3 linked regions of the Drosophila melanogaster genome follow. The protein of the gene in region 2 interacts with the protein of the main gene of each other region in a pairwise test. Each region holds a gene or a part of one and is shown on either strand. Other genes may lie near its edges.

Region 1 (11,865 bases), on a different chromosome or scaffold from region 2:
TATTATTTGCCTGAGTACTGTCTACACTTAATCCATTTATGATGTGGCTGCGTATTAAATAGTTTATTATTATTAAATAGTTTGTGTAAAAGAAACAGAAATTGTTTACATTTTATGATACATATATATATAGCACTTAAGTAAAATAAATTCCATTTTTATTTATTTCTATAAAATATATATATGTTTAAAATAAATTATATTTCTTGGTAGGATTTAGTTTATCATTTGACTTTGCTATACATTTCTGACCGCCCAAAGAAACCAGTTAATATTGACCACATATTACCGAAATTAGTCTTCAAATTGCTCATCACGAGTCTTCACTGCACTGCTGGTAACACAGCCATTGTCTGGACTGCCGCAACTATCGAGTGCGCACAGCTATCGATATTACGCACTGGTCACACTGTTATAACGAAAAAAAAATTCGCATATTATTCACACTTTACCGGTGTTTCTTGACAGAAAATGATAAGTTTTCGTTAACCGAATTCTCAGAAAGTAAGTGCTTGGAAAGTTTTTCCAAGAAAAAGTGCCCAATAGGGAAACCAAACCTGAAACCAAATAATTTTCCACGATAAGCGCAACAACGCGATATTAGATTGGCCAGCCCTGCGTTTGCGGTTTTTTTTTTGTTTTTTTATTTCCTGTATTTTTTTTGGGGGGGAAAAATTGCAGTTCCACGGAAAGCGAAAAGTTTTCCACCAAAATAAACGGTTGAAGCATGGACGCCGACAAGCAGGTGAGTGTCAGATTATAGCTCCAATAGGCGCCGCCCTTATGCGTATGCCCAATATATTGCAGCTGGAAAGGCAGCTGGAGAAGGAGCTGGACGAGATGCCGGCAGAGGATTTGGACGACGATGCGTATGACGAGTATGATCTGATCGTGATACCCGATCAGGGCAAGGGCTCGCCGCAGCAGGGGCACAGTGAGTCGCCGCAGCAGGAGGAGGAGCACAAGTCGGAGGAGCTGCGCCAACGATCGCGCCCAACCTGGCCACCGTCGTCCGCCGGCGGGGATATGACCACCATTGAGTTGATCTCATCGGACGACGAGCCGTCAGTGGAGGAGACTGAGGGAGGCAATGCCGCTGGCCGTGGCAGAGCGCGCAATGATTCCAGCAGCAGTAGCGATGATGTGGGCGTGATCGAAGGCTCGGAATTGGAATCGAACAGTGAGGTGTCCAGTGACAGTGACAGTGATAGCGACAACGCTGGCGGCGGAAATCAGCTAGAGCGCTCGTATCAGGAGCTGAATGCGTTGCCCAGCAAAAAGTTTGCCCAAATGGTCTCGCTCATTGGAATCGCATTGTGAGTTTGCCTGCTTCTCCCACTCCCATTTTCCATTTTTTCAATATCGGCATTAGCTAATGTTGATGCTCGTTAATGCAGCAAACTGAATGATCTGGAAAAGATCGAGTCATCGGTGCTGGAGCTGCAAAATTTGGCCACTGTGCCGGCTCACGTGTGGCTGAAGTATCTAAAGGCCCGCCTGGTCGTCACCCAAACGGACGAGGAGCGCAAGGCATTCGAGGAGCAGTGTGCCAAAGCGTTGGGCTACTACTACAGTATGCGATAGATAGAATCCATTCGTAGTTAAACCAATTGACGAGTTACATATTGCAGGCATACCGCTGTCCGAATACGTTGTCAACTACCTGGTGGATCAGGGCAACGTACAGAACCATGTGCTGTGGGCCAAACTGCTGGCGGACTACGACGTGGAGCGTCCAGACTTTGGCGACAAGCTGCGTTCGCTGATATCGACAATTACGGACGAAAATGAGGCTGCCGCCTTTGTGGAAATGCTGCAAAAGCACTGCGTCACCTGGACGTGCAACGTGGAGCAGCGGCAGATGATCAAGTCCGTTGTGGACAAGTTTAAGCAACATCTGGACGAGACAACGCGTGGTTGGGATTGGTCTGAGCAACACAAGGCTCATGTCTACGATGTGGAGACATTATCCCTTGACGATGACCTCAAAAACGCTGTGATCCGTTTCATATTCGAACGCTCGGTGGCCAAGTTTCCCATTGTCGATGTGCTCTGGTTATCCTACATTGAGTTCATTCAGTTCGAAGGCGTCACTGTGCCGGAGAATGAGGATGAGAATGAGGTAACCGCCGAAATGGTAGCCAAACGGGCCAAACGCTTGGGCAAAGGTTTTCTGCGCAACACGGAACTCGATTTGGCCAATCGTGGTGTGCGCAGTCATCCCAGTGTACAATTGAATCATCGTTTCCTCGACCTAATGGAGCGCTCGGACTTTGAGTTGGCGGAAGTGGATGAAGAGATACGTCTCATATTGCAGCGCATTGTGACCGACATGGATATGACCGTGGAGCTGCATCTGGACTATCTGGCCTATCGTATTCGCAACACCAATGCCAGCGATGAGCAGCAGGTCGCCAGTCTGCGTGCCGCCTTCAATCATGCTTGGGAGGAGCTAACCGTGCTCTACGGCGACCAGGCGGACACCAGGTACGAGGTGCTGCAGTTGTGGGCCCAAGTTGAGTACACGCAACTGGGGAGTCCGGACAATGGCCGTGAGATTTGGCGCCAAATAATGGGTGAGCGCTTTGAAATATGATTGCATAAGCAATGTTTTAACTACTCATCTTTAGGCTATCCGGGCAGCTCGATACGCGGCCTGCTCTGGCTGAACTTTGCCCAGATGGAAAGCGAATACAATGGTGGCCACGGCACACGCGATGTCCTTCGCAAAGCTCTCTCGCAGCCCGTCCTCGAGAATGGCCTTATGGTGCAGGAGTTTTTTCGCCGCTATGAACGTTGCTATGGCACCTACGAGTCCATTGCCGCCTGCCAGGCCCTCGATCTGCCTGTCGAGTATGTGAAGCCGCGTTCCCGCATTAAGCCCAACTCACAGTCGGCTTATCCTCGCCAGCAGAAGCTTAAGCCGCGCCAGCAGCAGCAACAAACGAATCGTGAGCCACTGAATCGCGAGCAGCGACGTCGCCAGGCGCATGAGCAACAACAGCAACAGCAGCAGCAGCAGAAGCATGGCATTAAGAAGTCCAGAACCGAGCCATCTGGTGGAGCTACGTCACCGCCATCGAAAGTCAAGGGGCCAGCGAATGCAGAGGCCAAGGAATCGAACTTTAAGTATTCGCGTGAGTCGCCATGCCGTTTGGACACATGCGTTTCAAGGACTTACATTAGTTGTCTCTCTTCTAGCCAACATGGAAATCAATAAGATCTTTGTAAGAAATCTGCATCCCGCTTGCAGCAAGGAGGAGCTGCACGAACTCTTCTCGCCTTTCGGCACCATCAAAGATGTGCGCCTGGTGCACAAGCTGTGAGTGCGAGATTACAATTACAATTATTGATTTTAAACTATTTGATCCTCTACAGAAACAAGCAGTTCAAGGGCATTGCATACGTTGAGTTCGAGAAGCCGGGCGAGGCGCAACGAGCAGTGGCTGGACGAGATGGTTGTCTATTCAAGGGCATGAATGTAAGCGAATGATGTGTGCCTTCATGTTTAACCGAACCAACCAAAGCAAATGCATTTCACAACTCTTTCAGATCTCTGTGGCCATTTCAAACCCACCGCCGAGGGGCACATCAGCTGTCAAGCCAAGTGTGGCGCCCAAGCGACGTGTGCCCACCTCGCTTATACCCACGACTCTGGTGCGCCAAGAGGTGGCTGCCAAGAAGCTGCGCTTGCTTCTGCCCGAGCCGGGGGACATATCATCCACTTCGGCATCCGTCGACGTGGCCATCAAGCGCGAGGCTAATGGAGAGGAGCAAAAAGGAGATGTTCAAGAACGAGATGAGCAAAAAGGAGAGGAGCAAAAAGGAGAGGAGCAAAAAGGAGAGGAGCCAAAAGGAGAGGAGCAAAAAGGAGATGATCAAATAGGAGAGGAGCAAAGTGGAGTGGAGCAAAAGGGAGATGAGAAAAAAGAAGAGGAGATGCCAGCTGCTGTGCCCAAGTCAAACGATGACTTTCGCAAGCTATTTCTCAAGGATTAGGCGACAAATGCCGGCGGCTGAGCCCGGTGCCAGCGGCCATGGTTTAGTTTGTAAGACGAAGACGAAGATTTGGAGCATATATTTTTTTAGATTTAAGGCAACCTAAACAGACAAGGTTGGAGAACACTGTACAAAGAGAAAAACTGTTGTAAGACAATGATTTTTGTTTCGACTCATATAAATTGGTTTCTTGATGAACCAAGTGAAGAAAAATGTTTGTTTGTTTCGCATATGACAGCTAGTTGACTAATCCCCGGTGAGTCTTTGGATGAAATGGGTGTTTCAAGTGTACAAACATCGAGTTGATTAAAATGTAATGATCTTGGCGGATTTATTGGATAAAAACTAGGTGCGGAACTTGACGCTCTTCGTGACGCCGGCCTTGATGCCGGACAATTCGCCGCCGTAGCGCTGCAGCTCCTTGCGCACCGTGCGCACGGCTCCCTTGCGCCGGATGAGCGCCTTTCGGTATTTGCCGCGATGCTTAACGCGCGGATTGCGCAGCTCCTTTTTGCGGTGCGGCGTGAGGCCCTTGTTCTTGGCCATCTGATAGGTGATGCCGCGTCGCGCATCCTCCTCTTCCTCCTCCTCACCAGCCTCCTCTTGCAGATCCTTCTCCTTACTCTCAGCATCGTCATCGTCATCATTATCATCATCATCGGAGCTCACTGACGCCTGCTGGCCATCGTTGTACTTGTTGAGTATCTGCAGCTTAGCCTTGCGCTGTGCCACATCCAGCACGGTGAATGCATCGCCATCTTCAATCCTCTCCAGCAGCGCCTCCAGCTGCGGTCGAATGTATTCCTCGTAGCGCGGCTTAAGCTCCTCGATCAGATCCTTGAGTTGCACCAGCCGCCTAATCACCGGATGGGCCTTGACGTCGATGCGACGTGCCTTGAGCAGCAGATAGAAAGCCACATTGGAGCAGTAGGTGGTGAGCACGGTGTGGCAGAGTCCGGCATATTGCAGCGCCGGCACCATGGGCACATCGTGTTTGCGAACGTAGTTGAGCACCGGTTTCAATAGGTTCTTCACCTCGTCGAGATGCTGTTGAAAATCCTGGGTGAGAATGATGAACTCCGGCGACTCACTGTGCATCAGCTGTCGTCGCTCGCGTTCTGATAGGCCGGCCAGATCGCTGGTCACTTTGGTTATATGGCTCAGCTCGTTGTCATCACTGCTGCCTGCGGGCGCTGCTTCTACATTGTCCAGCTGGAAATCGGCCTCGCTCATGCGCTTGGCCAGACGCAGCTGGATCTTTTTGGCCTCCTCCTCCTCGGCGCGTGCCTGCTCCTCCTCCTGGGCATTGTAGCTGCTGTAGTCCTGGTCCACAAAGTCGGTGTTGTAGTACGTGCTCCGTTTGCTGCCCCAGTCCATGGTGTTGGGCAGATCGCGGTCATCGTCTTCGGCGCCCTCGATGTCACTGTCGCGCATCAGTTCCGCCACATCCTGCTGCTCCTCCTCGTCGTCGTCGTCGTCGTCGTCGTCATCATCACTGAAACCGAGCACTTCCTGGACGGGATCATGTGGCTTTTTGCGCTGCTTGCGCAGATCTTCGAGTATTTCGCGCTCCTCGTCATCGTACTCCTGGTCGGAGCCGCTCATCACGTAGTCGTCACCGTCGCTGTCCATTTGCTAGCTGCTCTCTGTGCGTTTAAATACAAATTAAAACTAAATTAAATCAAACACAACACGTGCGTAAACAAACGGCTCGATAACACGTTCGATAGCCGCCAATGACCGATTGGTGTGGTGGATTTCGCGGATGGCGCATTTGCCATCTCTAGCGTCTAGCTTACGGCGGTGATGCCACATGGGAAAAGTTCCACAATTGAAATTCAGTTAAAATCAGGATGCAAAGCAAGATGGACGTCAAAGAAGGAAGACTTCAAACTTTGCTCTCGAAATTGAGAAAAATTTCGGAAGAAGCCGAGGATAACAATGATGTGCCGCTCGATTTGCGCTGCCCCAGTGCCAAAATGCGGAATAACAAAGTGTTAGCCGATTTGAGTGACATGCTAAAAGTTGTCGAAGATGTACGTAAATTCAAATTACACATGTATGCTTAGTTAATACTAATAAGTAATTTCCTCTAAAAGATCGCTTTGGAGGAAAAAACTACCGATTCCAAGAAGCCGGCTAATTCTGAACAGCAGATCAATGGAACAATTGAATTAGCACTCGATTTGCGCCAGCCCAATGCCAAAATACGGCTTGTGATTTCCGATTCGAGTGACTTGCAAAAAGTTTTCGAAAAAGCACATGTGCGTCGAAATATATACATATATGTATTGTAGAAATTACTAATAAGTTTTTCGCCCCTTAAAAGATCGCTCTCGAGTTAAAAACAACCGATTCCAAGCCGACGGCTGAGACTGACGACCAGCACCATGTGCGAATTTTCGATAAGATGCTTTGCAACATCGTTGTGCCGCCGGATGTAGCCGATGTCCAGGTGAATGGAAAGCCATTGGAGCAGTTGTTAGCCACCGTGTCGGAGCGCCAGGCAATGAACAATCCTGGCCCAATGAAGATGCATGAACTGCACACCGGCAATGCTGACTTCATGAATAGCAATAGCCAAGTGGCAGAAGCTGCTGCGTCAGTGGAAACACTGCTAGCGTCGACATCGGACAACGATAGCGACAGCGATGGACTCGAATCAAAAACGACGGATGGTTACATTGTCAAGGAACTGATACCGTCGTTTTCCGATTTCCCGGATATCGGTGATGTTAGTTTGTGTGCACTGATGTATGGACTGCCCATGGATGCCGTTGGCATGCACTGGAAGCTGCCGCCGCAGCGTATCCAGGATATCTGCAAGGAGGACTCTATCTTCCCGATCATCATGAGCTGTGTGAGTGCGCTTTGGTCCCGTGCCAAGCAAAGAGACAGCTTTGAAATAGGAGTTCAATCTTTTTTTTTTTGTTTTTTTTTCTTGCGCAGGTGTTCTCTCCGTGTGAGTTCTGGTTCCACATTGTGCCACCGCAGTACGCCAAGAATCCTGTAGCCGAGATGACCATTGATCTAAAGTAAGCTACTAACTAAATCGATTGATTGACTGATTGATTGATAATATTGTTATTTAATGCCCATAGCTGGTTCTATCGCCATACGACGATCAGCAGCTACCGTGCCGAGTTGCCTAGCTATTTCTATAAAGAGGGCTACATATGCGCCGCCTACAGCGAGTGTGGCTGGCGACGTGCCATGGTGCTCGTCACCGCACCGTTGGACGCCCAATGTGTGAACATAGAGTATGTGGATCATGCCCTGTCTGTCACATTGGCACCGAACCATCTACGATTCCTCCCACTAAGCTTTGCGCGCACACCGCCATTGGTATTTCGCGGCAAAATGTCGCACGTACGCCCATTGGCCAATGGGTGGCCAAAAAATGGTATCACCGCATTCCAGCGCATGACATTCAATAGGGTATTGTATGCCCATGTCGGCGAACTGGATACCGCTCAGGGTATATTCTCTATGCGGCTATCGTATGATGAAACTTTTGTGCCCACCATCAACGATCTAATCGAGTCGCGGATCAAGTTGGAGTCCTGTTGCTATGCGCCCGAACTGCAGCCTTTTGGGATGGTCGAGCCGCTAATTATGCCGCTGCACGATTATGATGATGATGATGATGATGATGATGATTTCGCATTCGTTCCATAGGGATTACCATGTGCCCAAGGCGCTGAATCCATTTCAAAATAAAAATGAATGACGCACTTCTAGTGGGCAACCAGGAGCAGAAGCAGAAGCAGGAGCAGGAATGATGAAAACAGGACAAAACCAGACGACGGAACATACATAAATCATCAAGCTGGCATGTTTGCCAATCATTTATCTCAGGGATGAACTGCATCATTTGAAAAGTGTAACTTGAACATGAAATTGCTGTTTGTTTTTTTTTTTCTTTTTTTTTTTTTATTATTATTTGTGAAATGTAATACCATACCCATAATTTTATTACCAAATAAAGATGCGAAAAGGTTGCCAGCCAAGTGCACGTGCACAACTTCTGGACAGGATGGGCCGGGAATTCTAAGCCAAAACTAGCGTAGCATGCCAAATAAGTGAACTTTGCAGGCGCTGCAGACTTGCCTGGTTGGTTGGTTGGATGGTTTGGATTTCCATACCGAATTGCAGTAAAAAAAATAGATGTGTGCTGCAGTGCGTCTGCCGCTCGTCGGCTGGCTAGAAGGGCTCCTCCTGCGCCTGTGTGGCAGCATCACTCGGCTGCTCGGCGAACATGCGCTGTCGACGGCACACAGTTGGCGTTGGCATATCGTCCGCATTGCTAATGGAATCGCAATCGTAGTGACTGGGCACCTCGGGTGGCGGAGCATCGGCATAGTCGGTTGGGATGTCGGAAGCGGCGCCGAACCACGACAGCATCATTGAGACCTCATGCCACCTACTCGAATTGGACTGCGAATCCAGCTGCAGTTCATCGTTTAGCGGCGGCGGCACCGTTCCACTTGGCTGATGCGATCCAATGGTGGACGATTGGGCGCCACCAACAACCCGAACCCAATTGCTGCCGCTGGCCAGCGGAGATAGGTGCGTCTTTCGATACGAATCAATGGAGCTTTTGACTCGACGCATATCCAGCGGTGATGTGGCTGCCAATGTGGATCTTTCCTTGTTCAGCGTCACCAGGCAGGACTGCCGCTCCGGCTCCTCATCCGCGTCGCCATCACGCCGATGGCGTGTGTATTCCAGCTCCTCCTCACCATCCAGATCCTCGTCCATCGATTGCGCCAGACAGTCGTTCGAATGGAAGCTTTGCTCCGAGTACGACTGCCCCTCGCATTCCATCTGCAAATGATCGCCCTGCTCCGTCGATCGCTCACTGGTCACCGCCAGCAGTTCCTGCTGTTGTTGGCAATTGTCCGTGTATTCATGCCTGGGCCTGCTGGCCAAAACAAAAAAACAAACAAAGGTGAACATAACCCCACAATTCTCTAGAAGATTTACATACCTTGTGACCGGCTGCTGCGCTATGGACACCTGGTAGGAATTGGATGACGGTGCCGCCGGTGATGCTACTGTCGCCGCCAACGCTTGCTGCTGTTCATGTCTGCGCTGGCGTTGGATGAGCATGCGTTGGATATTCTGTCGCGACTGATCGTTGCCATAGGAGATGCGCTTGGCGGCCAAGTCGCGACGCTCCACGGCCGCCCGGCGTGCATCGTTCGCCGCCTGCAGCTTGGCCGTCATCCGGAGTTCGCTGCGCAGGAAACCGCCGGTGCCGGCCTCGGCCATTAGGCCATTCCGACGCGAGATCTCCTGGCCCAGTTGGCGTGCGCGTGCCAGCGTCTCTATGCGCTGTTTGTGCATCCGCTGCTGGGGCGTGCTGCTAGCCAGCGTGATAGCACCGTGTGCCTGTTGCCGTCTCCGGCGGGTAACGCGTCCGCCGGCTAAACCAAACGATTGGTCAACATTCGATGGCGATGATGCCGTCGATGTGCCGCCACCGCTGGCGCCACCGGCCGCCCCGCCAGCCACCTTAATTACCTCGATCTCGCGAAATAGCCGCTTTAATCGCACCTGTCGCATCTTCATTTCGATGGTGCGATCGTTGAACTCCTGGATGCGCTCGTACTCATCACGCAGACGCTGCAGTTGGCCATTCTTCTTGCTCTCGTTGAACATGCGACGAAAGTAGGGCGTCGATTTGATCTGATACGACATGATGGTGTGGTTTCTACTCTACCACGGATTATGGATTGGATTTACACGAAATTTGATTTTTATTTACTAACGAAATCCGTACAATTTGGATGCGACCGAAATGTGCGTTTTGGATTTGATTGAATTTGTGCTGCGGAATGTTTGGGATTTTTTGTTTTTCGTGTGTGTGATCTCAAGTTTGGTTAGCAAATGCCAAATGTTGCTGGAACCCGAAATGACATGACCACGCAGCGCCTACTTGGTTAACAATCCAAATGCTGTGGGCAAAAAAAAAACAAAGCTGATTCCATGTTAACATTTAAATGTCCAGAGTGGTTACAATAATTTATTGATCGAATTGCTTCTTAGTGCCTGAATCTTAAAGCTAAATGGGCGGGATTATGTGTCGCAGACACGCCTCCGCGCCACAAATCATAGCATATAAGTAGTAGTAGTAGCATAGCATATATCATCTGGTCACTGCTGTTGGCTGCACTGCATCTCCTGCTACCCACATCTCGCGCTTACAAGCTAAACATCACATGAGCATACACATAACATCGAATACATAAACGAACACAAATGAGGCGAACATGTTTAAAAGATGAGTTAAATAAGTAAAAAAAAAAAGATGCGCTGCTGATTGCTAATTGCTGGGCAGGATTGCTGCTTACGCCTTCACCAGCTTGGCCATCATGTTGGTCAGCTTGTGCTCGTCGGCGCCGGCAAAGGAGGCCAAGCGTCGATTTTGGCGCAAAAAGACAAACGTTGGCATGCTGCGCACCTTGTAGCGCTCCGTCAGCTCCTCGAATTTGTCCACATCGATCTTGAGCACCACCGCCTTGCTGGAGTATTTTCTGGCCAGCGATTTGACGGTGCTCTCCATTTCCTTGCAGGGACCACACCATGTCGCATAGAAATCCAGCACGATTAGCTTGTCGTCGGCCGCCTCGATGCGCTTGTGATAGTCGTTCATGGTGCGTACGGATGCCATTTTTATGTCGCGAGGATTAGCAAAGTGTTTTTCTTCTTTTTTTTAAATTAAAGAACTTGACGTGATGGGGCTGTTGGCGCTTTCGCTGCAAATTGTGAACTGATTGAAATGGCGGCTGCGTAGGCGACTTTATAGGGGTCTCCAAGTGGCGGTGTGTAGAGTGGAATTCCCGCCAATTTGCATGCTGAATTCTCGCGTGGCCGCTAAACAAAATGGCGGCCCATGGAGAGTGCAAAATGGCGGGCGTGTTAGGGTTGCCAGGTCGTTGGGAAAGCCAACCGAGTGTGTTGGGGGGTGGGGAACATACTTATTCACCACGGCAGGTCTATCGATATCGATATGAATATTATTATCGTAATTATGGCAAAATAATGGCGTCACACGACATAGTACTAATATTTTCCTCGAGTGTTGCCATAGCCGTGGTAGGTTCGAAGCCAAACTCACCTCAACACACCGCGCCGCTGACATTTGAAAACACTTTTTTTTCAATCCAAGAAGGCCGCAAAATATTTGGCGAAAACTGTATAAAAGAACGCCTGCCGCCCTACAATTTTCATTTCGGGCTGATATCTCGGCGAGGGCAGAGCTCCATTAAAATTCAAAAGTAACAAAACAAATCAAGTGAATTTTACACCCAAAACAAGATTTTCTAACATTTTCCTTTTTTTTTTCTTTCTTCTCTTCCCATTTTTTTTTTTTTTTGTTTCGTTTCGATTTGCAATCCGTTTGGAATTTAGTTAAAGTCATGGTGTACCCAGTGCGGAACAAGGACGATCTTGACCAGCAGCTAATCCTCGCCGAGGACAAGCTGGTGGTAATTGATTTTTATGCAGACTGGTGCGGACCTTGCAAGATAATAGCACCCAAGCTGGACGAACTGGCGCAGCAGTACTCGGACCGTGTCGTCGTACTCAAGGTGAACGTGGACGAGAACGAGGACATTACGGTCGAATACAATGTGAATAGCATGCCCACTTTTGTGTTCATCAAGGGCGGCAATGTGCTGGAGCTCTTCGTTGGCTGCAATTCCGATAAGCTGGCCAAATTGATGGAGAAGCATGCCGGCGTTTATACCGATGAAGCGGCCGACGTTAAGGCCGTCCATATCGATGGCGAATGCATTGTCGATCTGACCGCCGAGTCCAGTGAAAGCGACAACGACAACAACAACGTTAATGAGGTGTCCG
Region 2 (10,947 bases):
ATTTCAATTATCATTTTATTATATATTTTATAGAAATTGACTTGAATAATGTGGTGTCCATTGCAAAACGGATTAGCAGGACTAGACTTATATTACGAGTCATTTTTCGATTCTCCCACTTATGTATATTGTTCAATTGACCTTTGATAATACAAAATTGCCTAGATTTCAAATAATATTACGTATACTAAAATTTATATATGTATGAAGTTGTTAGCCAGTTTCTTTCTTTTTTTTTCCATGAAATATTGAAATCTTCCTTCCGTTTTGCTTTGAAGTTCAAGTTATTTATTATTTGTTGTATTCTGCAAACAGCTGTTTGCATTTCGGCCGGCGTCGCAAAAGCAACAATTTTCAACCGCGTAAAGCTTTTGGCCTCTTGAGCCATAATTTCATACAGGTTGCAGGCTTGGAAAAATAACTCAATCTGGACTCACCTACTCACTCTCACTCTCTCCCTCTCCCTCTTCCAACCTTTCCTTTATTCACTCACTCTCCCACGCGATTTTTGGAACAAAAACGACGGCAGAGGAAATGCAGCGCAGTCGACGCCAAAAGGGATATTTTATATTATATATTAAGCCCGTCCTTAAATATGAATTTCCCAATCCTATTCTTATTCAAATTATAAAATGTATATTTAGCTTTAAGTTTAAAATATTGTTAAGTCGTACTCGGCTTCATTACGTAAATATCTTATTCATATAATTTTTGTACACGTAGTGTCACATGATAGAGTAATCAAATAAATGCATTTGGTAATAAGCTGATCTTCTGGACATTCAAATAACTATGCTCAAAAACCTTGCTGGCCCTTGATTCACTTAATAACTCAATTTTAGGACTTTCAGTGGGTGGAAATTTCCCTGGCACCCACGCAAACGAACGGGTTAAAAGATAGTGAAAAAGAGAGAGCGCACGAAAGCAACAATTGCTTACTCTTATGCACAAAGAAAAAATACTAACAACTTCAATTTTTGCATTGAATTACATAGAATTCGATAGAAAAGCCCAGGTCAAATAAAAAATTAAAACAATAATTTAGATAACGACTTATTTGATGTTAGATATTAGATTTAATTCGGTTAATGGGTAAGTTAGAAGAAATAATGTAAATTTTTGCATTGCAATAATGAAGCAATGAAACAAGCTTTACGTTAACGTCACATGAACTACCGTTAGCGAGCGAACAGTGCAGAAAGCGCTCAAGAGCGCGGAGCATTCCAATGCGTTGGAGTAAGAGCGTGCAGAATTCGTGGGAGCAAATTGGCGCCCGAATCAGCCGCTTTTCGTAACTCACTCAATGCGAATTGTTTTCAAGCGCCGGAGAGAATCTATATAGAGGGGCTTCTCCGACTCGCTTCGAATATGTTTTTCGCAGCGCGCGCGTTCGCATCGGAAAATCAGAAAAGCTGGCAAGCGTTTAAAAACAAATTCGGCAGGTACAATTGTTACTTGTTTTCCCCTCAGTTGACTATTTCGTCGCAGGTTTTTGGCCAGCGGAAACCATCGTAATAACCGTTTATCGTTATTTTATTATATTCGCGTAAATCGTTGTTTGTTCAACCACAGAATACTTGTTGTTACGCATTTCGAAAATGGAAATGCGAAAATTTCCAAGCAGTGAAAATCAAAACGAATAAAATATATTGGCTGCTTTTCGTGTTTAGCGCGTACGTGTGTGTTTCTGTGTTAGTGAGTGCAGCAAGAAATAAAACCAAAAAGCAACAAATAAATAAATAGAAAACAAAAGCAAAATCAAATCCAAATTCAAAGGCAAATACTTGCAAAGTAAGTTGATAATATCAGAGTGTGGTGCTAGCATATGTTGCATTATTTTGCCCAGCAATTTACATGTTTTTCACATTTTCTTCTCTCACAAATGACAACTAACTAATATGGATGATATTAACGGTGTTTAGAGTTGGCTTTTCCATTGAGAAATATGAAAAAATGCGTTCAATATGTTAGCGTACACACACACACAAGCGGCGGCTAACTGTTGTTTGTGTGTATGTGGGTGAATTGGCAATAACGCGCACGTGTATTAGTGTGTGTTTGTTTTTGTTGCCTTTGCGGCCAAGTGGCAGCAAAACGTTGCAAGCAACAAAAACAATAACTACGATGGCAAAACAAGTGCAGTCAGCAAAACCAACTCAACCAGTGCCTCTCGCGCTCTCCCACTCTCTCTCTCTCTAATACCCAAGCCCACCTCCTGCTCCCACACTCACCCTTCTCCCTCGCACCCATTGACGCAACTGCATGGTCAGGGCTTCTTTTACTGTTACAAAGCTCATGCGTGGACCCAATAGCAAAATGAATGCACGATGTACTTAGTTCATTAATTCCGCCAAATCAGAAATTATAATTATAAATGTACGAGTTTAATGGATTAAAGTTAGGTGTACGTAATTTTTTTAATTGTATGACCACTTTGGTGAAGCATAACCGTGGTATGAAGCTATTACAATTTCATGAACTTGGCGGCATAAACTTTGCAATTTACTATCTATGGTCGTCTTTGGATTTTTGGCTTCGCGCTTTTTGCTCTTCGAAGTGCGCTGCTCTCTTTGCGCCAAACAAAGCTCGGCCGACACTTGTCGCGTCTTTTGGATATCTGGCCTCCTCCCACCGCCCACTGCCTCTTTACATATATCTTTTACATTTTTTGCTTTCATACACTGAATAAAATTATGGGTATATACCGTACTATCAAATGTTTCTGAGTAAAAATTAATTTAAATAAAAAATTTAATTATATAATTATAAAATTATTATATAATCACTTGTATTTAATGTTGTATGTGTTGCAAATCCATTAATACTTTTAAACTTCTAGGCTTAAAAACAAATGTCTGTGAAAAAAGTGGAATTCTTGGAAAGTGTATCTCTTTGGCTTTTCCACCTCGAGGCGTTTTCGCTTGAAGCTTTTGCGAGTTTGGTTCGATTTCCATTTGCGTTTAATTGCATTTATGCATTTTTAATCGAGTTTGACTTTGGTGAGCTTTTTACTTTGGCATATGCTAGATTGTCGCCCAGACACACGGGGTTTTTTTGGGTGAAAATGGGCTCTTGCTGATCCAAAAGATAAGTTTCAGTTTCGTCCTTCTTGGTAGTGAGATGTTTGGACAAAGTTTTCTAATTGGCCTTGACGCCGTTTTCAGAGTTTTAGTGCTACTAAAAGGCAAGAGTGCGAACTTTCTGCGTCTTTAATAAGATAATTTATTTGCAATTATAATTTGGTTCATTAAAGTTAATTGAATTAAGGGCAGGCGTTACATTCCAACCAAATGGAATGACAATGGGTGTGGGGTTAAAGATAAAAGGATTTTAGTTAGTGAGGAATATATTTTGTGATAATAACGGGTAATTAAATTTTTTTTTATTTTAAACTGAACCGCTATTAGGCAATTTTGGGCATTAAATAGTTAAAAGCTTTAGATACACAGTTTCAATGCGGTATACAAAACTTCATTAATTTTCGATTAATCTAGTATTTTTATACTATAATTTAAAAACCTTACGTCATTTATTGTTTTAAATCAAATTTTAAATTTAAATATTTTAAGATATTCCACTTCTCCAAAGAGGTTTTTTTCGAACAATTTTTAACTCACAGCCAACAGCTGTTGCATCCTAAGCAAACATTTGTATGTTTAACTTAGTCCTCTTGAAAGCTCAATTAAAGTCGCGTGTATAACCGCCCACTACCCAGGGATTCTCTAAACTTCTACACTCCGAACACACACGCCAAGTTTGCAACTTGGCATATGTTTATCTGCTAATCATGGAAATGCGATGCGGTGTTGCAAAATATTTATCTAGAAACGGTTGACTAAAAAAGAGGGAAATAAGCGAAACAGCTTTTCAGCCAAACTGCAAATGGGAAAGCAGCCCCCTTACCGGTTTCCCACTTTTCCGGCACGGCGACCATATGCCAAAAAGCTGAACCAAAAATCGCACACACATTTGGGGATAAAACGCGATGCGAAAAAAGCATAAGTAGGCTGCTGTGACATTTCGTTGTCTGGGTATACGCTCATCGCGAACAAGGATACAGGAGCATTAGGGTGGAGCAATTTGTTCGAAGCTAAATATAAAAAACTTCAATATTGATTAAACTTGTTCATGCATATAGGACTTAAACTAAGTAAAGATCTGAACTAAAATTAAGTGCTTTTTTTTTAATAGAAGAAATATTAAGATCAGCTATTTTTGCGGACTGTTGATTTCCTTTTAGCGCTTAAACCTTTATAAGAATATACTTGGCATTTCAAGACTTTCGTAAATTCAGAACTTGGCTTAGATTGACGCACCCTGATAAAAGCACACTTATAAAGGCACACATTTGTATATCCGCACATCGGCACACACAAATAATTCGCCGTGCTATGTATGCCAGTATGCCGAAAAAAAGGGCAAGACATAGCTTCACCCGCTTTTGTCGCTGCCCACGCGTCACGGGCCGAAAAGCAACCACCCCACTAAGCAGCCCGCCCAACTAACCCACCGCCCGCTAAAACCACCCAACGACAAGCTCACCCACTCAGCCATCGTGTATGCCTTAACATTTACCTTGTTGGCCCGAAGTTGTCCACCAAACATTTGTTGCACTCTTCGCGTAGGAACCGCTTCTCACCATGCTGTTTATTCACCAGGCTCTCTCCCCCACTGGTTCTCTCTCTTGCTTTCTCTGCCTTTCTCTTTCTCTGTTTACATTGCTCTCTCTTTGAGGTAGCCGACGCCGGTCCGACGTCATCGCAAAGGTCAAAGCAAAGCAGCGCGAGTAACTATATAAAAAACCCTACAATTGCACCGGAAAAAATGGATTTGCATTCGAAATTCATAAGTTTATTTAAAATAAATATTTTATTCATACATCTTTATTTCCAACAATAATTAATGACAAAAATAAAATAGTATATTTAGAACTTGATTTCTAATAAATAAAAAAAAAAGAAATAAATATTTTAATCTCTAAAAATATTCCATATGAAGTATACAGTGATTTAAAAAAAGTTACTTTTTTGAAATCTTTTACAGTACAATATGGTGTAGAACTTGTTTGAGTGCATTAAAGCTTTTTACGAAAATTTAAGGGATCCTGTAACTGGTGGGTTGGCCATTCTAAATGCCTCGAGGGGCGGTGGTGCGGATGGCGTGTGGGTGACTTCGGTGGGTGTCCAACCATATGGTCAATTCAATGCACTGAGTAAATTGCTCCTTGGCGGAGGCAACGCTTCATTTGGTTTTCAAATTGAATAGGAAGCGTCGCGACATTGTCGGGCGCCTCGCTGCCACCCACTTTCCCGAATATATGTATACTCCCCACCGCCCTTGCATTTGAGGATTCGTCCTCCGCTAATTGAGACATTTGTCAGTTTGCGCAAATGAGCCACCATTTCTCAAAGGCACCCTCTCATTGGCCACGGGAATTAGGAGACGGAAAGTAAGGACTTATTCCCGACAGCAATTTCGTATTTTAATCGATTATACCCAATGGACCTATTTTAAATATTTAGATTTAAAAACGCTTTAATGAAATTTTATAAGATTTTAATATCTTTTCCTATTTTGGGCCAAATATTATAATAGAACGGACAAGAAATTTATCCTGTAACAAATATATGTAGCATTGGTTTCTTGGATGTTTTTTTTTTTTTTTTTTTTTTTTTGACAAGTTCGAATATCCTTTTGCGTGGCTTACTTAAAAACTGTTCGCTTAATCAGCTTGGATGGCGTTTTTCTTATGTTTGTGGATGAACTAGGAATGTCCTGCAGTCGGCCCTTTTCAGTTGGTTTTGACTTTACCAACTGTTCCGTTGTCTTGACTTGACTTGGCTTCTTATTAATTTTTTTCTCAGCGACCGACGATAAAGGAGTCTTGGGTATTAATTTCTTTTTCTTTTTAAGTGACTTCTCCGGAGATTCTTCTTTGTCAAGGGCCTCCATCTCAGACATCAATGTCTCGAAGGTCACATTCATCAAAAAGTAGCGACCTTTTGAATTTACCTTTTTTTAAGGTGTGGTATAAAAATAAGTTTAAGTATCTCACCGTCGAGTTTCTGCAGGAATCCCAAGCGATGGCCCATTTCAAGGGTTTGTTTCACAGGCTCTTTAAGCTCATCTTGCGATAATTCCGTATTTTTGGCTATGGTTACCACTATTTCTCGCAGTGTCGCCGGCGCTTTCAACAACTGAAGTGTGTGCACTATAATAGCCCCATTAAAGTTGGGCATTTTTTTCGATATTTGTGTAATTCTGTATAAACGTGTGCTATCACTAAAATCGGTTCTAAGAACTGAGAGTTACGTGCAAAACACAAAATACAACTGGCCAGCTGTTAGTCAGATTTCAGTGACAACCAAGTTCTCAGCATGCTTTAATTTAAATATTACAAAATCCTACACTTTTAAATAACACAATTATTTTAAAGAAATCTATTAATTAAAAGAGAATAGTACATATTGATAGAAAAATACCTGTACCTTGATTGTACTCTGTTCGCTGGCATTTGAATCCTTGGCCAAGTTTGGACCGCCATCCAGTTGGTAACAAGACTTACGTAGACTGGCCGACGTCAAGCGCTTATCTATCAGCCTTGCAGAAGCTGGCCAATATAAGCGGATTTAGCCATATCTATCAATAATCCCCGACTCACAACAACAGGAGTGGTAAAAGAATTGAGCAAACTTTGCCGCTCTCTGTTCTCCAATATTGGCTTCTGATATTTACATCAGGGACGCCTTTCTGCTGACGTTTTTCGCCACTGCTGTTTCTAATCAGCGTGGTCTAAATATAGAATCCCTGACCGCCCACACTTTGGTAATCGAGCCCAGAATATATACCATATGGAGGTTTAATTAAACTGGGTTGTGCAAAAAAGAAAAAAAAAAAACGGCACAAAAAAGCGAATGCAAAGAAAACAATAAAGGATGTTTATACGCACGCCAAAGTTTTCGTTATCAATCATTTTTATAGTGGCAATTAAAGCCTCAACAGCTGTCAAAGTCAACTGACTAACAAAGATGTCAATGCTCAGTCATCTTCAACTTCAGGCAATGGCGAAATCGATGAAAAGGCGAACAAAAAGCACTAAACAAAGTTAAAATGTTATTAATGCCTATTAAGTACAAAAACTACGCCAGTTCCAGTGCTGCCAAGGACAGTTGGAAAGCAGTGCCGTTTACTCTTGATATTGACAGTCAACGGTAATTTAATCAAAAAGTGTCAGAGTTTGCCATATGGCTGCCACTGAACCGAACGTTTGAAAGTCAATAAAAAAAATGGTTAAAACGAATGTGACAGCTAGAAATATATCGTTTCTCCGATGCTCTTTTACGTACATATATATATTGTACTCTTTTTTAAGTATTTGTACATCTTAACTTTAAAGGCTTAAGAAAAATTTGTGATATTATTTGGCAATTTTATACAGAAATATTCATTTTAAATTGAATTAAACATTAAAATATTAAAATGTTTCCAATGTAAAGTAATTAAATAACTTTTAAATGGGAAAATGTACGCTCAGAAACTGAAAAAGACCGAAAAGAAGCCAATAAAATTAATAATTGTTCAATATTGTTGTATGAGCTCCTTCTTTACGTTCTATTTTAATAATAAAATAAACGATTCATGGAAAAAGAACAATAGGATCTTAAAATCAATAACGAATATTTCCAACGCAAATTTTATGTGCATGTTTGCATATTAATTAAAACGTAAATTTCAATGTAAATAAAAATTCAACAATCCGGTGATTTACAATAAGTTCTTATACATTTTTTGCCCTTCACTTTGCTGGCCCTAAAGCACATTAAAGTATGCTATGATTTCTGTTTTTTCTTTGTCTGTTTGCCGTAAATGTATCTGTGTGTGTATGCAGGAATGGTTTTTGTAGGTGGGTTAAATTCTATTTGATTTCCGTTTCGTATAGACCTAAAAATAGAAGCGTTGAAAAATCAGGGACAACAGCTCTCCGCCCAGAGCGAACATTTATTTAAAATGTTTGATGTTTTCCTCGGTTAAATGTAGCCTTTTGACTCTAGCCCAAAAATGAAATACAAACACCGGACTACCAGGAAATTCGTTTGTTGATTGTTTTGCCCCAACGTTTTGCACACTAGAAATAAAAGAATTTCAAAATGGCAACACACTTGCGCACGGAAATTCTTTTCTCAAAATGCCATTTAAAATGCAGTACAAATGTTATTTTAACACTTGTCACTGTGCACAGCCATAAAACACGAACGAGGTATTTTATGAAGTCGGTAGGTGAAAGCAGAAGGCGTGTTTAGAATGACACGCTTTTCACTTATTATTTATGGCAAATGAGAAAAGCTGAATTGTGAACAATGCTGCAACGGATTTTATTGGACAGGAAATTCAGGCATATTTACGGCTCAGAATGGATAGAATGCAAGCATTTATTAAGGTTTAGGTAAAGCACTTTAAATAAAATACGTATGAAATAGATAACCTGAAAACTAAAAAAACATCAATACTAAAAATTTGACATATATATGTCGATTTGAAAACCCATTGCCTTTATGTCAATGGTTTCTCTTGACTCACTGAATTGCTTCAAGTTTAATTTGTTAGCCAAATACGCTTAATTGAACTGAAATCTTCTATACCAAACGGGCAAACACACACACACACACATTCGCATCTTCTTTGACATTTATGCAGAGTCAACCTATAAGCACACAGTGCGACCCATAGGTGAGTGTACATGCGAGTAGTGTGTGTACATGTGTGATAAACGGCAGCCTCTGCAGCCTGACAGTTATACTTGCTGTGTTTTATTCGAAAGGATGACCTGCCCGGCAACCCCAACCCTTATTTTTCCTCATTGTGAACTTACACCACCAAAAAAAAAGAAAAATACTGGCGAAGCCTAATTATATCGAACGAATTTAGCATATTTTCATATTAACATAACTTAATAATCTTTAAAACTAAGGCCCAGTAGCATGTCTGGATATAAATGTTATATATATTTAAAAATTGATTTAAAACTTAATAAAAAATTTATAAACGCTTACATTTGACAAACTGTTTAATCGAATAGGCATTTCAGACATATCAAAAGAATTTTTTTTTCAACTTTTTGTATTATGTATGTCTTGTTTAGTGATGCCAGCTTTAACGGTAATTGTTTCAATGAGCTCCATGAAATTTCTTTGCGTGCCTCGTGTTCTCTGGTGGTCTGTCTGCAGATCATGTTCTCTGTGTATGAAGACCATGCAAGTGACAAATTATATGCACAATGGTGGGGCATGGTGGTTGGGGAACTGGGGGGGGGGGTACAGATGAGTTGTGTGAAAGTGTCAGCATCAGTGTCAGTTTGGGTTTTTCCAAGTAAAATGTTTTATGAGCAGGCAGCGAGACATTTTTGGCCTTGGTAAAATATGAGTTGCATTTTGCAGCTCCCTGAATACGGGCAATAAACTGTGACCTGCTCCACCTATGTATGTGCCAGATACATAGTCGTACATACGTACGTACGTATCTGGTATCTCATATATCAACTAATTGCAATTTGTTTATTGTCCATGTGTGTGTGTGTGCCATCCTTGTTTTGTGGGCTTTGTAATTTTGTTTTATGTCTGGGACGTGCCTTCTTGGCCAATTGGAAATTTTATACCCATAGATTGGCAATTTTAATTGACTTGTTTTCCACAGCAAAGCAGACGACAGACAGCTGTTGCGAAATGTGATTTGCATATGGTTAATTCACAAGAATTAAAGCCAAGCCCGGCTGGAGCAGTCTAAATATCAACAACATATACTGTACTGTTTAAGACATTTTGATTGGGCATAAGCCTCTTTTCTAGCTTAACCAGCATTAAGTGGGCTCCTACACTCGCTTGGCGATGCCCAAAAGTATGCCACTTTAAACAGCAATTGTATTCTCTTCAATTTTTCCCCAACTCAATTAATTGAAGCCATTTCTTTTGCTTACTTTCGTGGGGGTTGTTCCACTGTCACAAATTTTCTCGTCTGACGCTGATCGTTTGCGTCATTTTCATGCGGGCAACTTTTACGCACTTGCGTCTTAATTACTCACACCGCATTTGAGCCGCCTTCGTTTTGCCTCCTTTCGAACGACTTTTCCGGACTCCCGCCGTTTCCATTCCATGTCTTGGCTTAAATCCTTAAGCTCCTTTCACAGTTTGCCTGTCTGCAAGCCGCTTTCTACATTTGTTTTACAACCTACGGGGAGTTTCGATTAAGGTTGTAAAGCCATTTAGCCGAGAGTGATATGTACATGTTTGATGAGAGATTGATAAAAGAAAGATAAATATAAATAAATACGCTTTTATTGTTGTTCAAATTTGTTGTTTATTGTTCAAATAGCTCAAATGGTAATAAAAACTGAAGTGTTTTAGCTTCAATTCATTTGAGTACTATATTTTTATAAGTTTAATTTAATTGAGTTTTTTAATGTGACTTGAGAGAGTATTTCTGAGTTCATTTAGCTACCGAAAAAGTATTTTTTATCAGGATTTCCTTTCTGTGACGCCCACCCATTCAGGAAAATATAGGCTAAGTGGCGCTTACAGCTTTTCGAGTTTTGCGTTTTGATATCTACCCTTAAAATAATGGTTATACGTATTAATTTACAGATACAGATAAGTTGCGATAGAAATTAACATAAATTTATAATGGAATATATTTTAAGTGCAACTTATTCTTTTGCAGTCTATATACTTATAATCCAAAAAGTGTATTTACTCGTTGGCTAATAAGTTTTCCATGGCAGTCTTATCAGTTGAGCAGCTTAGGCTACCGTTCATATAAATTTTCCCTTTGTGCGGCTCCTTCATCCTCCTTCTCGTTTTCCCTCCCAAAGTCATCATCATCGTTGTGTTCGAGGACCGCTGCAACATGTTTGCATTTCATTTGTTAGCAAGTTGTCAACCTTTTATCTATGTTATT
Region 3 (10,887 bases), about 13 Mb from region 2:
ACCTTCAACTAAGTCACAAGAACTTGACGAAGCTTTCGAATCAATTCGATTTAGTTCGCGCATTAATTTCGTTAAAGAAACCTAATATTATGTCGATCATTAAATTTTTTGCAAGGATATTTTTCACCGAAAGGCTTGGTTCATTTCATAAACAGTTATCTACTGGTAATGCAAACTTTTCTGGAAATGTCTTGAATGATATGTCTTTTATCTTAAATACAGTCTCTCGTGACGATTGCTAGCCCATCATGTACCTCCTAATCACTTGCTTTTTATTGCAGCTTAATTTTTTTACTAGTGATTTATATTTTGTTGTACTCTTAATGTTGTGATTTTGTTGCCGGCCTATGTTCATTTCGATTCTTCCGTTCGAATGGTTTGATTTCTAACCGTTCCATATGCCATTCCTTCGCTCGTCCCCGTTTCTCCGCAGGTACCGCCACCCAAATTCGTCCTCTGGAGGAGGCAGTTGGTCCGGCCCCAGCCGTTGATCCCCTGGAGACCCAAATGCTGGCCGCGGGAGGTATTCCCGGGGCGGCAGTCGGCGCCGCCGCCGGTCATCCGCTGCTGCTCGAGGGCGGCAAGCAGCAACAGCTCCACCACCAGCAGCAAATGCACCATCACCACCTTCAGCCGCACAAGCAGCACCTACAGCAGCAGCAGTTGCACCTGGGCGGCGGCGACGGTCAGCCTCTGGCATCGGGTCAAGGGTCACAGGGTCACAGACTTAGACACAAGGGCTTGTGGTTGTTGGTTATACTCTTGCTGTGCTTGATGCTGGCATTAAATGTGATATTATTACTTAAGCTCTGGAGGCTGGAGGAACGCATTGACGTGGATCTCAATCGGCGGGCCCGCATGCCCAGTTTGGCGGCCTTGAGGTGAGTCCAAATCCATACTGACAACCAAATTCGCTATAATGTATGCAAATGAACCTACGCTTTTCAGTGAGCTGCCGAGCACGAATCAGGAATGGCTGGAATTGCTGCGAGACCAGGAGATGGCGCACGAGAACGAGCTGCACAAATGGCAGCAGGTGCTCCAAACTGCCATCGAGCTGCTGAAAAAGGTGAGCATTGTCTGCGAAAAGATCACCAATGATAGCCACCTGCGTCAGAGCATTGAGTCGATGTCGATGGCGGGGCGCACTGAATTCTAAGCATCTCATTAGACGGTGATTAACAGCGGCGATCAGAGACATCGGCAAACAGCAACAGCGTCAACTAATTGTAACTTTAACACTCACTACCACACACATGTATACTTGCAAGGCGTTTCATAACTGCAGGGCAGATTTAAGAAGTCCACTTAACGTCCTCAGCGTTATGATAAATGAATTTTAACTGGATGCATTAGTTTTTTCTTAAAGAACTTGGTTGTTTTCTATTTGCATTTAATGTTTTCGTTTTTATTCCTTACTACTGCCAAATTTAGTCATCTCACGAGCAGATGGAAAGGTCTGATAGTTTTGAAACGCACTGCACCAGCGGGCATTTGTTACTTTGATCTCCTAGTTAGCAATACACAAAACCCAAACTTGTGCATGTTCTATTCTCTCGGATTAAGATACACATCCTCTGACACTGAATGTTAAGGTTAATGTTGAAAATTCATGTATCCCAATCAAGGTTTAACCTATGTTTTCCAACATCTATCTCGAGCAGAGTTGATAAGTAGTCCTTAAAGATAAGTCTTGTATTCCGTAGAGCAAACTCAAGGCCAGTACGGTTAATGTATCATGAAGTACGATTGCAATTGTAATGAAAAACCTTTAAAAATTTTCATATTCTGAATGAAGAATGGAGAAGAGATTCCCATGGCACCACACAAACTCACTGTCAAAACCTTGTATTTTTGTAAGTAATTTTTAATTTTGTATTTACCCTTGTAGAAAGTACTCATTCACTCTCAACTAATCCTTTTTATGTTTGACTAATTTGTATCCTGGATGCTTCCCTGTAAAACGCTTTTTGTGTGGAGAACATAAGTTTGCTTTTAAACTGTTTTACTCAAAATCCTTTTGTTTTTCAGACTGAAAGAACTTTGGCTGAAATCGTAGTACGCTAGCAGTAAAATTATTTAACAAAATGTGCAAGTAAAATGAATCCAATCCAATTGTCTTCGACATGTTAGCAAAACACCCGAAACAATTTTTTGGGCCAAAAGCAAAGCCACCAAAAAATCTGAAAATGAATTTAAAATTCAACTAACATTTAGTCACAAACCCAATACACTTTGAAAAGAAATTAAGAACACAAACCAATATGTTTGTATACATATTTAAGATTATGTTTTAATGGTAAGAAAAGCGCGTGTATGATCTAAGTAGCTGCATTTTAGTTAGACTAGAGCAATTGTTTTGTTTTTATCACGGCATTTACGTGTAGCACCTGTTTGCTTGGCTTTGCTTCAGACAAATGTATCTACAAATCCTCAAGTATTTCATATCTCACAACATACCAAAAACCGAAACAAATCAAGAGAGAGAGCGCCCTGAATTTTTGTTTTAGAAAATTCATTTACATGTCGAGCAAGCGCAAAACTGGCAAACTGGAGAGTATATAATAACTATAACTTTAATATAATTGCCAGTCCATGGCTAGGGGAAATTTGATAAAAACGATTATACAAAATACTTATTGTGTACAATACTTTTGTAAAACCAATCGAAACAATTGTGAGCAATGTTTTCGTTCTTTTGTATAACTCCTCCCAACTCTTTACCCTTTTTCGATTTTTGGCGCCCGTTTACAGACGATACCGATACCAATACCACAACAAGAATCAGAAACAAGATGCTTCAAACTATTTAATCCAAATCGCAAGTCAAGGCTATGGCCAGTAACTGCGTAACTCTATATATACACCATATATATAATCCGTATATATGGCCAAGTATTGTTAGTCTGTAGTAGTTGCATTTTAATGTACCAGAGCAAAAATAAACAAAGCAAAAGCTTGAAAAAAGCAGGAACCTGTGCGAATTGAATGTGAAGAGAAAACTAAACCGGAATAATTAAGAAAAATACATTTAGATCTAAGCTAACAAAATTTTTAAGTTGGTTAATACCACGCTAAAAACTAACTCTTGTCAAATTAATTTGGGCCCTAGCTAAATTGGCTTACGATTTGTGTCACAATTTAGGCTTATTAAACAGAACATACAAGAATAAGAGACCGAATGTTAAGCTGCAGCAATGAAAATTCTAATTTATTATAAAACCGAATAAATAAAATAAAAAAATAACGCCTTTATTTCATTTCATGACATTTTTATTCATGTGTATATAAACTAGACAATCCATATTTAAGTACATTTTCAATTTGGATCGCCTTCATGTGGGATTCAGTGCGGTCCATCACATGGAGGGATCACTGTGATTAAAGTTGTTGATTACTTGGTGCAAATTTGATTAGCTTGAATGAATGAAAATCTACTGGTATATCTATCGCTTCTAAAGACGCCATCGTTTTGAGACCGGAATCTCTGCATTGCCGAGTCGATCTGCAGACCTGGTATTTCGCATCTGTGCACCCGACTTTTCAGGCGAACTCTTCTTGGTCTTCGTCTTGCTCAGCGTACTGGCATCCTTAGCTGTAGATTCTGCCCTTCTGGGAGAGAGGGGTTGTCGCTTCAACTGAGTGGAACTGGTCTTGCCGAGCTTTGGCTGAGCACGGAATGATCCCTGCCCGGCTACTTTCCTTTTGCGAGGCTGAATGACGACCGTCTTGGAGGAATTGGCACTGGTCTTCTTGCTGGACAGGGAGTGCCTTGGCGACACGGTCTTGGTCTTGCCTCGTCCATGGGACATCTTCTCCACCAGCTTCTTAATTGCGTTCTTCTCGCTCGGTGGCTGGATCTTAAGGAAAGTGTGTTTCTGGGTCAAATGCGCGGCAGTAATGGCATTTGCCGCTGGCGGAGACATCAATTCCAGTGTTTCTGGCAAGGGAAACTCCATCGGACTTGGTTTGTATTTGAAAGGTTTCTTTCCGTCGGCAGCTCCACGTGCTGCTTTAGGCCGACGAACTGGCGGAAGATTTCCATTCAGTTCCCTGCGCAGCCTGATGTGACGTTCCACCATCAAATCGAAGATGGAGACTATCGGGGTATTCAGCATGGACGTCATCGTGTTTAAAACAGAGTAAAAGTTTGGAAAATTCTTTGAATGTTTAGTGATAAATGTGTAATGGGGTGTTTGTACTGCTACAAACTGAGTGGGTGGTTGGAAAATGATTTCTCCATGAACATGTGATCTGACGTATTGGGCAGAGGTATTTTCTTAAAAATTTTGAATCCTTCGTAAATTACAATTATTTAAAGACGCATTTTAAAGCTAAAGACGTATATGCCATATATATACACAAACGCTGACAAAATATTTGCATACTTATAGGCATGTAACTTTAATGTTATAACTTACGTATTGCGATCGTAAATTACAATTATTTAAAGACGCATTTTAAAGCTAAAGACGTATATGCCATATATATACACAAACGCTGACAAAATATTTGCATACTTATAGGCATGTAACTTTAATGTTATAACTTACGTATTGCGATCGTCTTGTTGATAAATCTTGAGTAACGTAAAGTACAATTTTTAAGCTTATAAAGTATATGTGCAATAGATGATGTAAACTTTAAAATAAAGTCGATTTTTTATATTTATCCTAAGTAATCGTATATCCAAAGCGACAAAGTCTAGCAAAAGAAATGGCGACCCAATTTCGATAGCCCTGCTTTATTTCCCAACTCAACCAAGTTCAAAATCCTAAAATAAATTCACATGACGCCGAATGGCATGAGTAAGATCACCGACTTTGTTTATTCCGCTTCTTTTGTTGCATTACAGCTCTCTCCTGGGCAATATCAAGAAAGCCAACCTGACTGATAAGAGTTCAAGTTCATTAAACCGCATAAAAATCAGGAACAATTCGTGCAAAATTTGGGGGCCTTTTCAACGGTTCTTCGATGTAGGGAAGTAAGTATATATTATATACATACATATATGGATTTTATATTGGCCTTAAATACAACTAGGCTACATTGTTATAAAAAACTGCAATCTTCAACCTTGCCTTCTTAACTGGCTACAATTTTCAACACAGCTGTATATAATACACATACGTGTATATAGTCGACTAAGAAATTAAATTAATAGAAAATTTAGCAAATAACATACAAAATGAAAGACCAAGAAACTATTCACATTCCGACATCGCTTAATAAAATTTGTCTAGAAATTCAATATTTGCCGTACGCTCACACGTACACTTAGAAAAATGGCCCACCATACGCACTAGCACACATCAGAAGAAGAAAAGAGCAAATTAAGGAGAAAAAGAAAGAAAATAAGAATCTTATCAGCGGTAGAACAAAAACAAAGTTCAGTAAAAAAAACGAAACAAAAACAAAAAGAAAGCCACCAGAAGTCGAGAGCAACAACAAATTGGCTGTGTGTTTTTTCAAGGTTAAGAGCAAGTGCGTGTGCGTGAATTGGTGCCACTGTATGGGTGTCTCGCACATTTTGCACATTGTGCGTATAAATAAAAAACAGTAACAACAGTAAAACCACCAACACAGCAACAGGAAAAAATAATTTTTTTTATAGAGAGCCGAGAGCTACGCACCGAAAACGAGAAAAAAACATAGCGGCAACTTGGCGACTTATTCGCTCCAAGTTTATGGCAACACAATAAACTTAATAATTTCGCTGCAAACTGAACAATCATCATTATTTAGGCCTAATATGCAATTGTGCGTTATTTTCCATCTGATTTGGTCAACGACCCAGCGCAGGTGACACATTTTAAGGCTTATAATTGTATTATCGTTCCAAGTTCTAAGTGTAATCTCCTCCTCCCTCGTTTTCCCCTTACCGCCCTCTGGCCACCCACGCACACAATCGTATCCGCGGATTGCACGCACACACGGTTCGTATACGCATTCAAATTGCGTATACGCAGCGGTTACCCTCGAGTTTAATGACTGATAAGATTGGAAAGCGGGCATTTGCCTAACAGCATTAAGAAGAAATTATGAAGCGAATCTTCTAGAGACTTAATTTGTTTTAATTGTACCCTATTAAAGGCTCGCAGACCAACAAATATTTTATTGTCAACTTTAATTTCAAGTACTTAAAAAAAGGTATAGAAAATTTCATTGTTGATCCAACTCCTTGATAAGTACAATATAATTTGTAAAGAAGAAAAATTGCCTTCAAAAGATATCGAAACGTAGGACAGACTCAAAAATTAGTAAAACTTTTTGTTTCGCGAGACACATTAAATCGCCCGAAAACCGCTTGCTACTCCAAAAACGTCTCGAAACTTGTTGAATGACTTCTGGGTTGCCAGCCAAGACCTTAAATTTCTATCACCAAGTTGAAATTCGAGATCAGTCAAACTAAATAACCAACTTTTATTGGTTCGCTTTATTTATCAACGAAGATTACCAAAGTTCGTTGGGAACTGAATATGGATAACAAAATGTTGAGCCCTGTTACTGTTAGGGAACAGCAGGGGAAGTGATCTCGCTGTAAGCCCATAACATTTGTAATGCAATGTACGCAGAGATAACTTAACATTCATGTAATAGAAAGAGAGCAAGGGAGAGAGACTGCACTTAAAAAAATATAACTACTTATTACTATAATTCGTATTAAATAGTGTTTACACAAAAGAAGGCCAGGGATTTTTAATTTTAACGTAATCAATTATTTCTTAACTTACTTTATAAAATTTTAACTTTATCATCTAATTTTTTAATTTTTATCATTTTTCGATACTGCAGAGATATCTCTTACATGCCTTCTGAATGCAAGCCATAATTTGTTTGGTTTTTCATTCCTCGACTTAAAACATACACCTTAGGGCGATTTTTCTCGGTGCAAGCTCCATACGCACGTGTGGTGATCGTAGGCGGCGAGAATGAGTGTGGGGGGAGAGTGCGCGAGAGCGAGAGCGCGAGAGAACGGGAATGAATGAGCGGCGACTTTTGGAGCGCTGGCGCAAGCGTTTAGCTTTAACGGTCCGCGATCAGTTCAGTACGTTCAGATCAACGGGCGCCGTTGGATGTTTTCTTCAATGTTGAAGCGCGCCGAACTCGCGTTGTGTGGAAAAGCGGAATAGCTCTCTGTTTTTCGTCGTGTTTCTACGTTACTTTACTTTTCGTTCGATCTGTCCGTGTTTCGTTTCGGCTTTATAAATCGAGTAATTCCCCATCCAATAATTAACACGCGTGTTATCAAAAATGTTTACAAGAAACCTACATATGTTCAATAAGTAAGCCGAAAAAAAAAGGCAAAGAAATCATTTAAATTGCAAAAAAAGTGCTGACGATTTTTAATATCAAATTCGAAAAAGCAACAAAGAATTTTATTACCTTCCTTCGCTTTTTGGGTGCGTTGTTATTGCAATTACTGCATTTACCTTATATTATATGTTGTTCAAACACACTGAAATCGCTAAAAATGAAAACTGACGTTTTGCTCTGGCGCTTTGTTTCGCGCGGGCTAATTGACAAATATAACAAAATTCGCCAGGCGTCTCCACTTCTCTCTGATTCTCCCCAATTCTCACCGATATTCTGCGATTCCTTTTCATTATCTTTTTCTGTGCCGGTGGCAGTGCATATAGGAAATTGTCGGAAAAGTTCTCAAGCCAAAAAGCTGTGTAGAATCTGAGTTTTTGAGGAGATTCCTCGAAGTCGAGGCAAACATTTTCAAGTTTAAATAAATTATTAAAATTGCAGAACGTTTTTACGAATTAAGTGAAGCCTGAAATGAAGTGAATAGTTTCGGTGAGAGCTGGCGAGCATCTGATTCCAGTGAATAACAGAGATATCGCATGAATAACGCGTGAATAATTAGCACTGCAACTTGAATAAGCAACGAATTCCTAGTAACAATAAATTATAAATTGAATGCAATTCACTGGGATTGTGCAGCAAAAAGCAAACTGCTCATAATAATAAAATCATCACTTTGTTTCCGTGCTTGCCTGACTTTTTACCTTCCGACATCATTGTCGAAAATGTAAATAATTTTGTGTATTCATAATCATGTAATCTCTTAAATCTTAAAATTATATCACAACTTGTTTCACTTGGCTTACATATTAATTATATCTGTACTCTTCTCTGCTCTTACTATATTACAGTCGGCCACAACTCGGGAAAAGAAAAGAAAAAGGAGGCAAGCCAGACAAGCCAGGGAATTATGAAATTTTAAAGAAATCCCCAAAAAAGCCAAGTTCCCAGAGCCGCAAAATATGTTTAATGCATTAAAATAAACGAAACGAAACGAAACGTGTTTAAGGCGAGTGCAGGCAGAAGACGAGCAAAAAGTTGTATACGCATATACACATAGATATATTTAAACAAGATTTACATTTAAAATCCCCCCAATACACACGTACGTATATTTAAAACTGTGGCGGCAACACCAACAACATCCAGCTAAGCGTTCACAAAAAGGTGATAATGATTATTTCCAAGGATCTTTTCATATTTGGCGAACAAATTTTTGCAACAATCATACCAGAAGGTGGAGCCGCGGCGCTGGCAACCCAGCAGCAACATCAGCAGCAGCATCAGCAGCAGCATCAGCAGTCGCATCAGCAGCCGCATCAGCAGTCGCAGCAGCAGCAGCAGCAACAACAGCCGGCAATTATAAATTCAACAACGACGACGGCCACTTCGTTGGTAATAAACTCGACAGCAGGAGCAGCTGAACAAGTTGTAGAGGAGTCATTAAAAGTAGCAGCAGCAGCAGCAGCAGCAACAACAACAACAACAGCCGCAGCAGCAACAACACTACCAGCTAAACAGGAAACAGTTGCAGTTGCTGCCGCCTGTGTTGCTCCTCGCAAATTGGCAAAAATTCAGAAAATTCCAAAGGAACCCGAGGAGCTCAAAGCCAAGAAAAAGGCAAAGTGTGAGGCAGCAGCAGCGGCGACTCATTACGAAAAAATGCCAATGAATTTGATGATCGTGGAAAGTGTTGAGGCAGTCGATATGGGATCATCGGACAATGACAACGAGACAACGGAGCAGGTACCGTTGGTGAGTGCCAGCCGTCGCAATCTGGCCAAAATAGTGGCCGACTGCCGCCTCCAGATCGAAGTGGAGCCGGCAACATCGGCAGTGGCCGCAGCAGCAGCAGCAGCAGCAAGCGTTGCATCCCCGCCTGCAACATCGGATGCGACAGCAGCGACATCGGTGGCCAGCAGCGACTCCTCTGCCTCATCATCAGCATCTTCGACGTCGTCGTCATCTTCCAGCTCAACGTCCTCAGAATTTACGCACACATCACAGACAACGATACCAAGTACGGATAATCTAACGTCATCCAATGGTCTGGCCAATATAGGCAAAAGCATTTTAGTTGATGCCAAAAGGTGAGTGTTCAATCAGCGTTGACCCAATTTCCGAGCCAAGCTCGTACCTACATAAATTCAGGTGTGTGTGTGTTATGTTTTGTTTTTTTTTTTTGTGTCCGCACTGATTGCATGCAGACTTCGTCTTAATAAGGAGGGGAAAGTGGAGGCGATCCAAGGGTAAATCAGGATTTTTCCAAAAAAAAAAAAAAAACAGTTCTCCGGATGAATATGTGGCGTTTCCAACCGGTTGCATTCGGTTGACAGTGAGTTGCAGCTCGTTTTGTACAGTTCGAGCGGGAGCAAATTACTCCTACTCTTGGAGCTCAATGGAGAATCTATGTTCTTCTACTCTTGGAGCTCGATAGCGAATCTATGTTCCTTTTGATTGAATCGGTTCGTACTCAAGCTGTCAAGTTTGCTTTCAAAGTCAGCCATCAATTGCGATATACTTTTGGCTGAGCAGTTTTAGCCTGCCCTAGAATTTCAATTACATGAAACAGTGTGCCTTTTCGTTATCAGATTTTTAGCAGGCAGTGTAGGCCCGAACACTTTTGCAGTATTAATTGATTGCCCATCGGCTCGAAAACTCGTTCTAGAACTGAAGCTTCCTGCCACTAACTAGGGTATCACTCAGCACGTTGGGGATATCCCCTTCGGCAAATCCGAAAGGCAGCCGTATCTGCTTAATTACATCTCACAAGCCGAGTGGGGGACACCAAGCGCTTCGTTAGGTGGAGTACAAAAGGGGGTCAAAGTGGGGCTGCAGCAACACTCACGCCTTCACAGGGAAAACTGACCGAAAAGGTTCGAAAAACAGAAAAATTCATGGACTTTCGCATTGAAAAGTAACTACAAAGCGAACTGAGTTCTCTGCAAGGATCAGGTTTTTGCCTGGGAGCAGCTCGACATGGCAGCCACTTCCCATCTTTGTTGCATTTAAGGGGAGACCTGCACACGCACGCACACACACACACACACACACACACAGTGTTACAGTGCATCCTGCATTTTTAATGGTGACCCACAAGTTTTTCATCAGCGCCAGCAGCTGTTGCGTTTACTTCACTGAATATTTGCACATTGGTCATTTTGTGCAGCTCTCCTTTGTCTGGTGGAAAAGCTGGGCAAAGTTGGTAAGCCAAAATAGTAAAACCATTCGATTAGTGCGAAATGTTTCCGCTTAAAAACGCATCAAGCATTCCTGCGCGGTATAAATTAAAAATTTGAAATCTAAATAACGAAAATAATTCGTTTCCCTTTTATATTTCGCGGAAATAAATGCAATTAACCCAAAATCCGTTGCCCAATTGTTTGTTGTTTGCCCTTTGCTGGCTTTGGTGGCCAAATTGAAGTTTGTCTGCAATGCAAATACGCTGCGAAAATCAACATAATAATTGCCATTTGGCCAGAGCTTGCGAAAATCCACGAGGGTGGTGTTTAAACTGAAGTTAAGTTAGCCAGCGAGCTCAGCTATCCAGCTTAATTCGTTTGTCACTCCGGCCGA

The links.
Region 1: the proteins of CG5968 (region 2) and Sas10 interact in a two-hybrid assay, tested with the Drosophila melanogaster proteins (one large-scale study listed by BioGRID).
Region 3: the proteins of CG5968 (region 2) and CG8838 interact in a two-hybrid assay, tested with the Drosophila melanogaster proteins (one large-scale study listed by BioGRID).

What each region holds. Positions count from the first base shown.
Region 1 is NC_004354.4:5,311,270-5,323,134, reverse strand, and holds Sas10 (something about silencing 10), read right to left. Parts: upstream 5,727-11,865; 5' UTR 5,632-5,726; coding exon 4,345-5,631; 3' UTR 4,064-4,344; downstream 1-4,063. Other genes in the region: Rnp4F (RNA-binding protein 4F), read left to right, coding at 728-745, 808-1,316, 1,398-1,573, 1,632-2,576, 2,631-3,137, 3,202-3,322, 3,379-3,481, 3,553-3,999; CG15930 (uncharacterized protein), read left to right, coding at 5,853-6,035, 6,099-6,263, 6,329-6,859, 6,949-7,034, 7,101-7,677; CG4198 (uncharacterized protein), read right to left, coding at 8,203-8,923, 8,990-9,702; dhd (deadhead), read right to left, coding at 10,352-10,675; TrxT (thioredoxin T), read left to right, coding at 11,424-11,865. UniProt on the Drosophila melanogaster protein: Essential for gene silencing: has a role in the structure of silenced chromatin. May be involved in gene regulation during development. Binds RNA.
Region 2 is NT_033779.5:16,543,648-16,554,594, forward strand, and holds CG5968 (uncharacterized protein), read right to left. Parts: upstream 6,313-10,947; 5' UTR 6,240-6,312; coding exon 6,056-6,239; intron 6,000-6,055; coding exon 5,704-5,999; 3' UTR 5,534-5,703; downstream 1-5,533.
Region 3 is NT_033779.5:3,350,990-3,361,876, reverse strand, and holds CG8838 (uncharacterized protein), read right to left. Parts: upstream 4,232-10,887; 5' UTR 4,128-4,231; coding exon 3,456-4,127; 3' UTR 3,259-3,455; downstream 1-3,258. Other genes in the region: GramD1B (GRAM domain containing 1B), read left to right, coding at 434-881, 949-1,159; E23 (early gene at 23), read left to right, coding at 8,485-9,401.